2 linked regions of the Mus musculus genome follow. The protein of the gene in region 1 purifies or fractionates together with the protein of each later gene. This does not show direct contact. Links are inferred from orthologs where the notes say so. Each region holds a gene or a part of one and is shown in the gene's direction. Other genes may lie near its edges.

What was found. The genes of interacting proteins can lie anywhere in the genome.
Region 2: the proteins of Pja2 (region 1) and Mob1a purify together in Homo sapiens (affinity purification with western blotting; 3 studies listed by BioGRID). This does not show direct contact. The link is inferred for Mus musculus from reciprocal best matches to the Homo sapiens genes PJA2 and MOB1A.

What each region holds. Positions count from the first base shown.
Region 1 is NC_000083.6:64,327,539-64,336,115, reverse strand, and holds the start of Pja2 (E3 ubiquitin-protein ligase Praja-2), read left to right. Parts: upstream 1-4,232; 5' UTR 4,233-4,320; intron 4,321-8,577.
Region 2 is NC_000072.6:83,333,185-83,340,297, forward strand, and holds part of Mob1a (MOB kinase activator 1A), read left to right. Parts: intron 1-891; coding exon 892-1,025; intron 1,026-5,096; coding exon 5,097-5,260; intron 5,261-6,991; coding exon 6,992-7,069; 3' UTR 7,070-7,113. UniProt on the Homo sapiens protein: Activator of LATS1/2 in the Hippo signaling pathway which plays a pivotal role in organ size control and tumor suppression by restricting proliferation and promoting apoptosis.

The sequences.
Region 1 (8,577 bases):
ACCCAAACCATGTATCATCCTGTACATGACGAAAGAGAAATCCTAAAATAGATAGACGCTATCAATGGAACTGAAAGAGATAAATTCATTCTAGAGAAAGAAGAAGCCCCCCAAATGAGAAGGAAACCTCTAAGTTGAATCTTAGGAGAATTTAAAAATAGTGTTAATAGTCCTAAAGAGCAAGAATGTTGTGAAAAGAAAACATAGAGATGAAAAATAGAGTGATTGAAAAAACAAGTCAACAGAAGGATGCTAGATAAAGTTTAGGAACACTCTCAAAAGGTTCTGTGACTCTTGAGAACACTGACTAACACAGAACCTAAGAGCCCTGTAGAAACTCTGCTCAAGTTACTGCCTGGCTGGTCAGTTAAGGCAGACAAAGAGCAAGCAGAAGACAACAGCTCAAGGAAGAGAGCAAGTCTGTTTGTCTCTAAGCTTTGCTGAGCTGTAGGTCTGGCCATTGGCTTGCTAAACAACCCTTTTCGATGTTGTACTTTCCAACACTCTGGGAAAATTGTTTTCTAGGATTCCCAGGACTTTTGGCAGCTGTTCTCAGCCTTCCTAACACTGTGACCCTTCAAGACAGTTCCTCATGTTGTGGTGACCCTCAACCATAGTTATTTTCATTGCTACTTTTTATCTGCAATTTTGCTACTTTCATGAATTGTAATATAATATGTGTGTTTTCCAATGGTCTTAGAGGGTTCCTGTGAAAGGGTGGTTCAATCCCTGACGGGGTCATAACAGCAGTTTAGAAATGCTGGCTTACATAGAAAAGAACATTTTCTTTTACACACACTCCCACCATGTTTGCTGGCTTCCCTCTGAGACTATGATTAGAGCACAGGTCCTCTTTCAGCTTATGCCCAGGGTTATTAAAGTATATGTGTATCAAGATCGCCGGGGAAGATTGGTTAAAATACAGCTGCTCATCATAGGGGTTTCTGATTCAGGCCTGAAACTGTTCTCAGGTGTCTTAGTTTGGGTTTTGTTGCTGTGAAGAGACACCATGACCAAGGCAGCTCTTATAAAGGCAAACATTTAATTGGGGCTGGCTTATAGGTTTAAAGGTTCAGTTCATTATCATCAAGGTGGGAAGCATGGAATCATACAGGTTGACTTGGTGCCGGAGGAGCCAAAGTCAATGTCTTGATCCAAAGGCAGACAGGAGAAGTCTCATCTGCACTGGGTGGAGTTTAAGCCTCAAAGCTCATCTCCACAGTGACATACTTCCTCCAACAAGGCCACACACCCTCCTAATAGTGCCACTTGCCATGAGCCAAGCTTATTCAAACCACCACATCAGGCAATACAGATGTTGTTGTTTTGATGAGCATTTTTTAAGAGCACACTACAGAGCTAGAGAGATGGCTCAGCTATTAAGAACACTGATTGTTCTTCCAGAGAACTGGAGTTCAATTCCCAGCAATCACATGGTAGCTCACAACCATCTGTAATGGGATCTAATGCCCTCTTCTGGTGTGTATGAAGACAGGGACAATGTACTCATATACATAAAATAAATCAACATTAACGAAAAAATAAAGAGCACACTACACTATGTGGTTCCTGCAACCCTCCTGTGTTAGGGAATGCTTCTCAACTTCGCAATCAACAATGCACTCAACAGTGCATTTACATTAATATGTACTATTATCTCATGTACATACAATAATATAGTATATAAACTCATAGGGATTTAGTACTTCATTCTGGGCATGATATGTGTCTCATGGAGTAGGTTATTTAATCTGTACCAACAATGTATAAGCAGGTACTCTTACTTTCACATATTAAAAATAGTAAATCCAGGCCAGAGAGGTAAGAGGGTTGCAACATTTATACATGCAGGAGCTCGTGTGAGAATCTCTCCATCTGAGCTTAGAGTTCATGTTCTAAGGCTCCATCCCAGAACTTCTCAGACTGCAACATAAATCACTTGCGATGCCTTGCATGACTGTACTTGGGGCACGATGGCAAGATCAGAGGCAATGACTCACACGGTGAGAAAGTGGATTGCTATTTTGGGTCTATTTTTCTATCCTTTCATGACATCACAGCAAAATGTCACTTGAGTACTGTGTCTTTATTATATAGGCATATAATATTTGATAATGTTTGATATTGTACCCTCTTAAGGAGGAGTTCATGATTCAGGGTTTAGTTCTGATCAGTTAGGGTTCTCTGGAGTCACAGAGCTTATAGAACGAATCTTTCTTTCATATGTGTGTGTGTGTGTGTGTAATGTATATGTATCTATAAAGGGTATTTATTGAAATGACTTATAGACTGCAGTCCAACTAATCTAACAATAGCTATGCTATCTGTGAACAGAAAGTCCAAGAATCTAGTAGTTGCTCAGTCCCACAGATTGGGTGTCTGAGCTGGTCTTCTGTTGATGCTGGAATCCTGAGGAAGAAGGCTCCAAGGCCAGTGAAGGAATGGATGTGCTACTAAGGCAAAAGCAAGCAGGCAAAGAGCAAAAACCTTTCTTCTTCCCCATCCTTATATACGCCCAGTAGAAGGTATGGCCAAGATTAAAGGTATGTGTGTCTTCCTGTTTCAAGATCTGGATTTAAGGTATGCCTTTCTATCTACCTCAAGATCTGGATCAAAAGCCTGTGTCTTCCCATCTCAAGATCTAACCAGGAGTATGTCTTCCCAACTCAAAGATCCAGACTAGAAGTGGATTCACCCACATCATACTAACCAGAAAAACCTCTCACAGATGCGCCCTCCCTTCTGGATTGTAGTTCATTCTAGTATACCCAGACATGGTATGGAAATGATTGAGATTTGAGAAGTCCTGCACCTGCCAACCTGTTAGTGTGTTCAACTGAACCAATCTTCAAGACTCTAAAGGAAAATTAGTTAAAATATACATTCTCTTTCAAGAGAGCAAGGACTTGGAGACATGTAAAAGAGTAATTTGGGGGGCGGGTAAAATATATGCTACTGGGGTATTCTGGGAATTAAACTTGGTTTCACAAAATGTCTAGCAATTTCTCGTGTTTTTATGGGAAATGTCGAATCATTTCTTTACATCGATGGTAGAAAAAGTAGTTTCAGTTCACTGGCAGATTTTACAGCTAAAGGACATCACAAGAAGTGGGGCTCTTAATCTGTGTGGGTAGGGAGGCCACGTGATAAATATATCCTGGGCTTTTGAGCTCTGGGTGATGAAGCTGGGGGTGGGGGCGGGGAGTTAAGAGAAGAGAGCTAGGCTGTAATCAGAGAAGCAGGCAGGCTTCAGGATGAGAAAAGGGGACATGTGCATCACTGACATAACGAACTTAAACTGTGACTGGGTTTAAATTAAGCAAGGTGTCCAGGGACTCCAGCTGTTGTATTTATTTTGGTTGCATGAGACGAGAGCTGATAACTCCGAGCCTGACACCCGATATAACTTAGCTGTCAGCTGCTAAACTCTGGTCAGGCCAAATCTACATCTCACCTATAGCTGCTTTATACAAACAGAATCAGAGAGCAGGGCGAGGGTCTGACCAGTGGTGGGCGGGTACCACGCACCACAGAGAACCACAGCAAACAAGCTCTTCGTACGTTTCTTTCCCTCGCTGCTATCAGAATTGCAACTGGTTTCGGATTTTCTTTTCTTGTACTTCAAATTGCAAATACTGGGTAACTTCTCACAGCCTTGGGAACCGAATTCTGCACCTCCATTTTGCTGGGGGGCATGCGGGAATGGAGGGAGAAGTGTAACTGCGCCAGTCCTGCGCTCAGCTCTCCACACCCCCTTCCCTTCGGGAGACCCCGCCCTTTTCTCCCAGCCAAACCACAAAAGGCCTGACAGTGGATCGGGCCTCGGCGCCCCGCCCCCGCCCAAACGTCGCAGTGCTGCAGGGGCGGGCGCAGGGCCAGAGAGGGGGCGGAGCCAAGCGCGTCTCCACTCTCCTCGGCCAATCCGCGAAGGGCCTGGGAGAGAGCTTGCAGGCGCCAGGCAGAGAGACAGCCCCAGTTATTTTCCCTTTTTCTGCCACGTCCAACCATGACGTAGGCCTACTTCTAGGACTGCGATTGGATGCGTGCTTTTCCCCCTGCAGAGGGCCGTGAAGTCTATTGGCTGCGCCCTCAGGGGGCGGGGCTAAAGCGCTCCCTTCCTCCGCCTCCTTCGCAGCGCAAGGGGCGGGACGCGCCGCCGCCGCCGCCGCCGTCACCACCTCTGCTTCCGCCGCCGCCGCCGCCGCCGCCGCTGCAGCCGCTGCGCGTTCGGCGGGGGAGGAGTCGGAGGCGGAGAAGAAGGCGGTGGTGGCGGGTGGAGGATCGAGCGCTGTTCTCGCTCTGGAGCCGCTGCACATCTCGGTGAGGGCAATTTTTATTTTTTTCTCTCTCCATTCTGGCTGATTCTGTCAGAGCGGATCTGGGTGAGGGAGCCGCTGCCCAGGCGCCTCGGCTTCGGGGGTCTCCGAGGAACGGACCGAGCCGTGGCCGGCCATGGTGGGTGGGGTTGGCGACTGAGAGGCCTCCGGCCATCCCGCCCGGGGCCGCGCTCTAGCCCGAGCCGCCGCGCCCGCCGCCCGCTCGCTCCCGCCGGCTGTCTGCTGTCCTTGGTGCCCTGGTCAAGGACCCGGCGCCTTGCCCCTCGCGGCCCGCCAGTGCCGCCCACCCTCAGGCCCGCCGCGGAGGACCGTGGCGCACTAGGCCTGCGGGGCCCCTGCCCGGCCCGGCACGGCACGCCTTCCATCCCTGCCTCCCGGATTTGCGTCCTCCCCGATTGTCACCGAGGCCCAGGCACCCTGTCAGGCAGTGCCAGTGGCCTACCGTCTTCTTGGTCAGCGTTAGGCCCCAGCACGCCTGTCAGAGGCACCTTCAGGGCTCCCCTCCCCGCCCCCACCCGCACCTCCACCCCCACCCCAAGATGCCTCCAGGTTTATCATTTTTTGCGCACATTAAAAATGGTGAGTTGAAAGCTGCCCAGACCAAGTTGAATAAAATAAAACAAAAAAAAAAATTGTATGTCTACATAGACAACTGCTTTGACGATCCTCATTCTGTCAAGTATACGATTCTTTTTTTTTTTTTTAAAGAGGCCTTACTCTATTTTTATCACGAAATATTTGCTATTATTTCTTTTAAGATGGCAGTCATTGCTGAAGACTTAACAGGTCATTTGATGAGTGTATACAGGAACGTAAAAAAATAACAGAAATAAACGTAACATGTTTGTGATTGTCTTCTGGATTTCATGTCTTTTTATATGAAATAATTTTATTCTTCTATTACAGACATGCACCCTCCGTGTAAAATTCAGCAGTATAAAGAGAGAAGTATTAAATAAATACTAATATGTGACTATTTTCATCCTTCAGTGCCCCACCAGTATTTCGGTTTGGTGGTCATCTTTCCAAGTGCTTTCACAAACGCATCTTGAAAGATACACACACATGCAGAGTTGTCTCCTTCAGGGATGGGGGTGAGGGCTATGCTGAGCACATTTGTGTAAAGCTTGCTTCTTCTAATTATATATCTTGGACATAGACTCCCGTTTTATGTAGGCCTCCCTAATACTTTTTCTATCTAAGGGTACATCCTATTTCTTTAATTTGATGGACTTTAATTAAGTATTCCTACTGAAAGCCGTTTCAGTGCTTGCAGTTGAAAGTTATGCTTTATACTAAAGGTAACTAACTCACGTATTGATTGATTGATGCTGAACTGTAAGCTCTGAATCGTTTATTTTAGAACATTTCACGGTGTGGAAGACTGTAATGTAAAAAGAGCAGCCCCCACTTTGCCTTCTAGTATATTGCCTCTATCCCAAGACTCAGACACTGTTTTAATAAGGGGGAAAAACCTGTGTGATCATTTCTGGAGCACAGATCCAGACGTACAGTTGCAGAAGTAAAGGGTATGAGTATTTAAATCTGACAGCCATCTAACCCTTATTATTACTCTTTTTAAAGATATTATTACTATTTCCTGAGTGTTTCTTCTAGGTGGTCTTCAGACCACTTGTGAGTTAAAATTTAAAAACCCTATTTTGAATAAGATTACACATAAATTCTTAGAACTGTTTTACAGTCTTAAGCCCCTCCCCAAACTGTTCTCACCATTTTATTCACATCTTGCTTTATATTAAAGCTTTAGTTACCCCTCATATATATCATTCCTTTTCAATATTCCCAGCTCCTTTATAGTTGTATTGCTGTAGTAGATGAAAACTTTAAGGTAACTTTGTTTTCCTGTCTCTGGCAATAAAAAAAAGCTTTTGATCCTTGCCACCCCCCCCCCCCCCCGTTTTTCATGGAGCTAATATTTGTATTTACTTGACAATTATCTGAAAGTATTTTTTTGGTTTCCTTTCCAGTTTTTATGACATTCTGACATTGCATTGCCCCTTAGGTGCTACATATTGTTGAGTAGTAGGGCTAATGCTACTAAGACTAGGGCTAATAGTTAAAATATGTCACTTTTTCTTTAAGGTAAATGCTTCTGAGGTTAGCATTAAATATGATTTTTCACAAAGCTTTTTAATAGTCAATATTAGGTTAAAATATGCCCTTCTGTTTTTAGCTTGCCCAGATAATGTTTTTGTTCTTATTTTTAAAAACATTTACTGAGCGTGTGTGTGCACATGTGTGTTGTTACAGCATGCTTATGGAGATGAAAGGACAACGTATGGGAGTTGGTTCTTCTGTCATGGGCTTCAGGATTGCATAGTGTCAGGCTTTGTGGCAAGCACCCTGACCTACCTGCTGCCTCTCTGGCTCCTCTTGCTGTCATTCTTAATATTTATAAAAAAGTAGTGGAGGTTAAGTTTTTTTTCTTTTCCTTCTTTCTTTTTTTATTTTTTGACATCTTTTCAACTATATATATGGTTCCATTTGGGTGTCACTAGTGGTTCTTATATACTAGTTCCTTAAAAGAGATTATCTTTTCAAAAAGTCAACTTTTTTAAATTAGAGAGTAAATTAGAATTAATGAAATGTACTTACTTAAGATGTACATCTCATTGTGTTTTCATAAAAGTATACTTTTATGTCTCTCTCTCTCTATATATATATATATGCACACACATTGTGTGTGTGTGTGTGTGTGTGTACATATAATATATAACATAGGACAATATTTTCACCTCTCTGAAAACTTCTATTCCTTTGAGGTCAACCAGACTTTGACCCTGAGCCCCGGGAAACCACTTACCTTTCTCACAGTATACATTGTTTTCCCTTGGTCTACTATTTCATATAAATGTAATTATTTCTTTTGTATCTGCTATTTCCCAGCATCATGCTTTTGAAGACCATTTGTGTGTGTGTGTGTGTGTGTGTGTGTAAAACTAGCTTCTGTTTTTTGTGAAGTAGTTCATGATAGTTGTTGATTTACTACTGTTTTAGTCATTTAATCAATGTATTTGGGTTGTTGCTGATTTGGGGTTGTTATTAATAAAGGTGCTGTGAACATTTATTCTGAGTTCTTATGTGAATTGAAACATTTTTTAACCTGGAAAATCTCTAGATGTAGTATTTATTGACTTATATAGAAAATGAATGTTTAATCATTGTCTCATGTTCCTTGTCTGCCAGTGACACACAGCAGTTTGCCTTACCCACACCCTTACACCCTTCTAGTATATGTATAGTAGTTTTACTATATCACACTGGCTTTTATTTTTTGTTCACATGTTTGTTATCTTGGTCTTTTCGAAAAGAAATCTGTTTTGTAGCTGAGGCTGTAATGAACTCAAACTATGTAGTTCAAGCTAGCCTTGAACTCTTAATCCTCCTGCCTCAGGCTTCTGGCTTCTGGGATCATTCCTGGGACGCAGTGAATTTTAACTTATATTTACTGGATGACTCATGATGCTGATAAGCTGGTCTGTGTCTTCATTTGTAAATGCTTTCTTCAGATCTTTCAGCCATTTTAAAACTCAGGTTATCCTAATGAATTTTAAAGCTTTTTAAATATGTTGTTTATATGGCTACACTGACAGACATGAAACACACATTTCAATATGAAGGTTTTTATGTTTTCTTTATTTCCAAACTATAAACAAGAGGAGGAGCTGAAGAGATGGCTCTGCAGGTAAGAGCACCTGCTGCTCTTCCAGAGGACCCAGTTTCAGTTCTCAGCACCCACATTGGTCTGCTCACAAATGCCTGTAACTCTAGCTCCATGGAATCTAATGTTGTCTTCTGGCTCCACAGGTACCTTCACTCATGTGGCAACACAAATAATTCCTTAAAAAGAGCTTTTAATGGGAATTAATTTGGCTAATGAGCTTCTTTTTTTTCCCCTTTTCTTTTTCCTGTGCTTCTGTGCTCTGAGGATTCTTTACCAATTGCAAAGCTGTACAAGTTTCCTCATGTTTTTGGCTATGTATTTAATAGTTTTGGCTTTTACATCACGATGCGTTACATATTCTGAGTTATATTTTTGTTTTATGATGTGAGAAAAGGTTTAAGGCTTGTTTTCTTATCCATTGGCTATGTCGTTCTAGTTCCATTTGTCAAGAACATTCCTTTTCTTATTCAGTTAAAAGTTAGTATACTAAGACCACAAATGTGATGTGTTTCTGGACTGTCCCCTTGATCTCTATGCCTGAAATTTTGAAAATAC
Region 2 (7,113 bases), on another chromosome or scaffold:
AGAAAAAAGTAAGATGCAAGGTAGGAATGCTGTTAAAAGCCGCCAGGGCTATACAGAGAAACCCTGTCTCAACCAAAAAGAGATATATATAGATAGGTAGGTAGGTAGGTAGGTAGGTAGGTAGGTAGGTAGATAGATAGATAGATAGATAGATAGATAGATAGATGGATAGATGGATAGAGATATAGATATGAATATGATGTATTATATCAAGCTTCTAAGGGCTGATAGCTAGATAGATAGAGATATAGATATGAATATGATGTATTATATCAAGCTTCTAAGGGCTGACTGAAGAAAAAAGTAAGATGCAAGGTAGGAATGCTGTTAAAAGCCTCCATTTTCCGAGGTTTTTCGAGACAGGTTTCTCTGTATAGCCCTGGCTGTCCTGGAACTCACTCTGTAGACTAGGCTGCCCTCGAACTCAGAAATCCGCCTGCCTCTGCCTTCCGAGTGCTGGGATTAAAGGCATGCGCCACAACGCCTGGCCCAGTTTTTTTTTATGGAGTTTAATTTCTTACAAGAATTTTTAGGTGGTCTTAAAATATTTGCTCATTTTTTTTCCTGGTGCCTGTATAGTGTTAAGGAAAGCAGCTGCACATCCTGGAGTAGCATCTGCCTTAAAGAAAGATACAGGGTTAAATAGGCTGACAGTCTCCTGTGACTGTTTTCTAAAGGTTTAGTTTATGTATATGAGTACACTGTCCTTGTCTTCCAACCTCTGGAAGAGCAGTCAGTGCTCTTACTGCTGAGCCATCTCTCCAGCCCCCTTCCTATAACTTCTTAAAGTCACATAAAATTGCCATGGACAGAATGTGAACCTGCTTTGGTTACAGGTTGTCCACGTTAAGGTTTTAACAGCTATCATTAACATTTTGTTGTTCTCGGCAGGTATGAATACCACTGGGCAGATGGCACTAATATTAAAAAGCCAATTAAGTGTTCTGCACCAAAATATATTGACTATTTGATGACTTGGGTTCAGGATCAGCTTGATGACGAAACTCTTTTTCCTTCTAAGATTGGTAAGTTAACCCCGTGGAGCAGACTTTCTTGTGAGTGATGACTGCAATCTTTAAATGCGCTATTACTTTACATCAGCTTAACAGAGAAGGCCGCATCTGCAAAGAACTTGAATCCATGTATCCCCCCAGCTTACCAACTTGTTTTCTTCACACCAGTTAGTACTTACTTTTTAATCTTTTCCAGTTTGAGTACATTGGATCTGTTTTAAAATAAAAAGTATTTTATGTATGTGGTGTGCGTGTGCCACAGCATATGTGTGCAGGTCAGACAACTTCTTAGATTTGATCCTTTTACCTTTACATGGTTTTTTAATCTGTGTTTCAAGACAGGGTCTTACTATGCAGCCTTGGCTTTCCTGGCATTCACTATGAGACCAGGCTGGCCTGGGATTCACAAACATCCCCCTAACCCTGCCTCTGCCTCCCCACTGGTGGGAATAAAGGTGTGTGTCACTGTGTCCAGCCTTTACATGAGTTTTGAAGATCTAATTCGGGTCATTTGGCTTTCATGGAAAGCACCAAACTCACTGAGCCATGCCACTAAACCTGAACTTTTTTTTTTTTCCCCCGAGACAGGGTTTCTCTGTATATAGCCCTGGCTGTCCCGGAACTCACTTTGTAGACCAGGCTGGCCTCGAACTCAGAAATCCGCCTGCCTCTGCCTCCTGAGTGCTGGGATTAAAGGCATGCGCCACCACACCCGGCTCTAAACTTTTGTTTTAATGTCCATCTAAAAATACTGACAAAGGGGCCAGCATGATGGCTCAGTAAGTAGAGGTACTTACTACCAAGCCTGGTGGCCTGAGTTGGATCTCTGAGACCTACATGGTGGATGGAGGTTGTCCTCTGACCTCCACATGTGCCTTACAGCACGTGCATAGATACATGTCTGCTCTTGCACACACACTGATGAGATGAAATACTTTTTGTTTCATCACGTGTTCTGTTCTGTTTATGTCCTTTGTCTGTTATAGGTGTTTGGTCTTTGTCATACAAGCTGTATGTTTTCTTCCCCTGGGGTACCTTGATCTTATTCATGGAGTGTTTTGCAGTATACACTTCTCTTATTTTGCTCAGCTCCTTTAAGATGTGGGTTGTTTCATTGTTGCTTTTTGTGGTGCTAGGGATTGAAGCCTGGCCTCCTGTGTGCTAGGTGTGTGTTCTGCCCTGAGCTCTTTTTGAGCCCCCGATTACATTTTGTCAGTGAGAAAGTTATTACTTCTTTTGTGGTTGGGCTTAGACCCAGGGTCCCTCACATGGTTGAACTTTACCTTCTTCTAAGTTACACCCCAACTTCTCCATTTCTTTTTAAAAATGTTGTGCTAGGAGAACATTTCTGTTTTGCTACTATGTTTGGTTTTGGTATGGTACTGAGAAGTGAAGTCAGCCTGCCTGCAGTTCCTGGGCTCTGCGTGGCTTCTTCCCAGATTCTTCCTGCCCTCCTCGGTGGAGTCTGAGCAGAGGCACTGCTGGGAGAAACACATCAAGTGTTTGTACTTAGGCTGGAGTTGGGGAACATGGTGGAACATACCTGCAATCCCAACACTCCTGAGGCTGAGGCAGGAGGATTGCTGGAAGTTCAAGGCTATTCTGTGTTATAGAGTGAGACCTCATTTCAAAGAAACAAACAAAACAACAAAACAAAAACCCACCAGATTTGACTTAATAACATTTGTCTTAGTTAGGGTTTTACTGCTGTGAACAGATACCATGACCAAGGCAAGTCTTATAAAAAACAACATTTCATTGGGGCTGGCTTACAGGTTCAGAGGTTCAGTCCATTATCATCAAGGTGGGAGCATGGCAGTATCCAGGCAGGCATGGCGCAGGAGGAGCTGAGAGTTCTATCTATGTCTTCATCCAAAGGCTGCTAGTGGAAGACTGACTTCCAGGCAACTAGCGTGAGGATCTTATACCCACACTCACAGTGACACACTCATTCCAACCAGGTCACACATATTCCAACGAGGCCACACCTTCAGATGGTGCCACTCCCTGGTCCAAGGATATGCAAACCATCACAACATTCTTCTATTAAACCTTGTATTTCCTTTCTCACAGACAATTATACGTTCATTCTATTTGAGTATGTTCTATTAAATTCAGTTTAGCAAGTACTTAGATTAAAGTTGTTCACATATTTACCAAGTTATTTTTATGAGGGAAGATCTCATTTAGCTCAGTTTGGCTTTGAATTCCCTGTGTAACTGAGTATGACCAATACCCCATCTTTCCATCTCTAGCTCCCTCTTGCAGAGGTTATAAAATCTCACCACCATGCCCAGCAGAATCCTCCTTTCTCCTCATCCTCTCATACTACTGTAATGGTTCTGGGTTCCTTTACTTTCCTCCTCATTAGGCTGTCATCAGTGTTGTAATGTTTGCTTTTTTTTTGAGACAGGGTTTCTCTGTATAGCCCTGGCTGTCCCGGAACTCACTCTGTAGACCAGGCTGGCCTCTGTATAGCTCTGGCTATCCTGGAACTCACTTTGTAGACCAGGCTGGCCTCGAACTCAGAAATCCGCCTGCCTCTGCCTTCCGAGTGCTGGGATTAAAGGCGTGCGCCACCACGCCTGGCCTTTAACATATCTTTTTAAAAAAGATTTATTCATTCATTTATATATTTATTTAGTTATTTATTTGAGACACACCAGAAGAGTGCATAGGATCCCATTACAGATGGTTGTGAGCCACCATGTGATTGCTGGGAATTAAACTCATGACCTCTGGAAGAGCAGTCAGTGCTCTTAACCACTAATCCATCTCTCCAGCCCCCTTAGCATATCTTAAGTCATTAGCAAGATGGGAATTTTAAAAGAAAAGATGTTAAACCTGTATTTTTGCTATTTCATATTAAAATTCTGCTCTGAGAAACCAGTCATAAACTTCAGTGTAATGTTTGAAAAGTAATTTTAACCAAGACTAGGAAGAGTTGGGAATACCATAAAAATATATAAGATGAGCCGGGCGTGGTGGCGCATGCCTTTAATCCCAGCATTTGGGAGGCAGAGGCAGGTGGATTTCTGAGTTTACAGAATTTCTGAGGGCCAGCCTGGTCTACAAAGTGAGTTCCAGGACAGTCAGGGCTATACAGAGAAACCCTGTCTCAACCAAAAAGAAATATATATATAGATACAAGATGTATTATATCAAGCTTCTAAGGGCTGACTGAAGAAAAAAGTAAGATGCAAGGTAGGAATGCTGTTAAAAGCCTCCATTTTCCAAGAGGTTCGAGGGTGTTTAATTTAAAGTATGAGGAACTGGTTTTTGAAGCTGACTTTTTGTTCAGCCTGGGACTCACTGTGGAGTTCATGGACTCTCAGAGATCCACCTGTCTCTGCCTTAAATTAAAGACAAGCACCACTTGCTTGCCAGGCATGTGCCTTCTTAGTTTTTCTTAATGTTGGTTTATGTAGCTAGTACTGGCTCGCTGGCATTCTCCTGTCTATAAAGGAGTTGGTTCTGTTAGCCAAACTTGTACAGAGTGTAGCCACTCGCCCCATGGCTACTGCTTGGAGAGTTTTCTACTCCTCCCAGTTTTTCTCAAGAGGTATTTCTTTTTTTCTGAGAAGGAAAGAGGCCCCTTTCTTCTGTTTCAGGAAGGATCACTCCCTTTTTAGGATACAGGAAAATGAAGACTTACTTTCCAGAGTAATGTAAAAGATGAGATATTCTCTACCTACATAGATGATGGTAAAGACTTGATACCACTTAAATGTGGTATCTGTTTAGGATACACATTTGTTTAGGAAGTTCTCCATTCCTAAATTTTTTTTCCTATTACAGATGACAAAAGTGATAATTTATAATCAAAGTGTGTATTCTTGTTGCATTTGATCTTAGAGAGACACTCTGATATTAAACAACCAACATGTTCATTTGAACTGTGATCCAGCAGCCTCTATCCCTATACTACTGTTGTAGACAGTGTGGTGTGTGAAGAATACTTAGTTTGGGATTTCCCTTGCTTTGTGAGTGTGTAAGCTTGTGTGCTACAGTTGCTTTGGGTAGCATCAGGACTTGCTGCATTCTGATTTGATAAAAGACTTATAGGCGTGTATTCGATTACAGGTGTCCCTTTTCCCAAAAACTTTATGTCTGTGGCAAAGACTATTCTGAAGCGTCTCTTCAGGGTTTATGCCCATATCTACCACCAGCACTTTGACTCCGTGATGCAGCTGCAGGAGGAGGCTCACCTCAACACCTCCTTTAAGCACTTTATTTTCTTTGTTCAGGTAGGTGAGTCATTGATCTCTGGGCCTTGGACTTAGACCTTGATAACTTAGTAAAAATTATCTTATTTATCGATGTAGAAAGTGTAACTTTAAGCTTTGTTCTGTCCCCGTTTTGTCCTCTTCACCACACTGTTTCATTGATTCATGAAGCAGTATAGAAGGGCAGTGTCTCTGGGATGCAGAGGTGGCTCAGCAGTTAATAACACATACAGTTACTGCTGAGGACCTAGGTTCAGTTCCCAGAACCCACATCAGGAGGCTCACAGTAGGCCGTAGGGATCCAGCATCCTCGTCTAGTTTCTGCAGACACATGTACGCATGTGGTTCACATAAACTCATGAAAGCTCATGTATACAACTAAAATAGATAACTGAATCTTAAAAAAAAAAGTGGGGGTGGGGGAGGCAGCATCCCACTGGGGCCTGGCTGCCTAGGGCTTTCCTTGGCCATCGTTGGCCTGTGAGCACTAACAAAATTAGAACTTTAAAATATCAAATAAAGGTATTTGGAAAAGAGACAAAGAATTAACAGACCATGATGCCACATCTCTCTTATCCTAGCCAGACCTTGTTTCAAAAAACCAGAAAAGAAAGCTGGAGAGACAAATGGCTCAGCAGTAAAGAGCACTTTCTGCTCTTGCAGAGGACTTGAGTTCATTTTCTAGCACCTGCATTGGGGAGCTCACAATTACCTTAGCTCAAGAAATCCTGATACCTACTTCTGTTCTCTTCAGATACCCGAATACGTATGGCAAATACATGCGCCTGCAAACACACACACACACACACACAGATTAAACTATTTTAAAAAGCAGGGAAAAAAGGACTCCTCTTTAGAGCTAGGCAATTCTGATGTAAATTATCATTTTATAGTAGAGAACACTGGTAGCTTTTTAGTGATTATTGTGTATTGTGGCTTTGTGTACAGTGTAAAGGCTATACCAACTTAATGTTTTTCTTTTTCCTTTTGAGACTGTATTCCTTTTATGTGCACAGTTATGTATGTTCATGTGTATGTATAAAAGTAAAAGCTGACTTCTCATGAGGTAGCTGTTATCAAAGGCTTAGTGTGTCATTTTCAGGTCATTTCTGTATAAACTCATATATTTTATTTTGGTGTTTAGCACAATGATGAGCTACAGTGCCTCTCATCCCCCACAGTTGGTTAAGAAGGGAGCCTGATGTCCCAGTATTGTAAAAGTCACGAGTCATGTGTTGGTCTTTCTGGGGCCCAGACACACCTGGTGATCTTACGGGTCACCAGATACTGTTGATACTATAGAGATTCCAGGATTTTAGGAGCTGTGTGTCAGGAAATGGGGAGGAAGACCAGCATATGTCATAACATATATGTATGTAGGTATGTGTCTGTGCATGTGGCTACACATATAGATGGAAGCCAGAAGTCAGCACTGAGCATCTCCCAACACTGGGCATTACTGGTTCAGCTAGACTAATGGCCAGCAAGCTCTAGGGATCCTCCTGTGTCTACCTCCCCAGCACCATGGTCACAGTACTGTGTCTGGCTTTCTTGTGTGACAAGCATTTTCCTTACTAAGGAGCCTTCTCCTTAGCCTGCACTTGTTTTAAAAATGACTAAAAACAGTTATTTTATATATCATAAAGGTCATTTCTTTCAGATTTCAGAAAGCTAGGTTTAGGAAGCTCATTTCTGAAAAGTATGTAAGAGTTTCAATTTTGGTTCATTATTACATTTTTCTTTTCTTTTTAGGAGTTTAATCTGATTGATAGGCGTGAGTTGGCACCACTTCAGGAATTAATTGAGAAGCTTGGATCTAAAGACAGATAAATGTTTCTTCTAGAACACAGTTATGCTCTCCTTCTATCTACTGC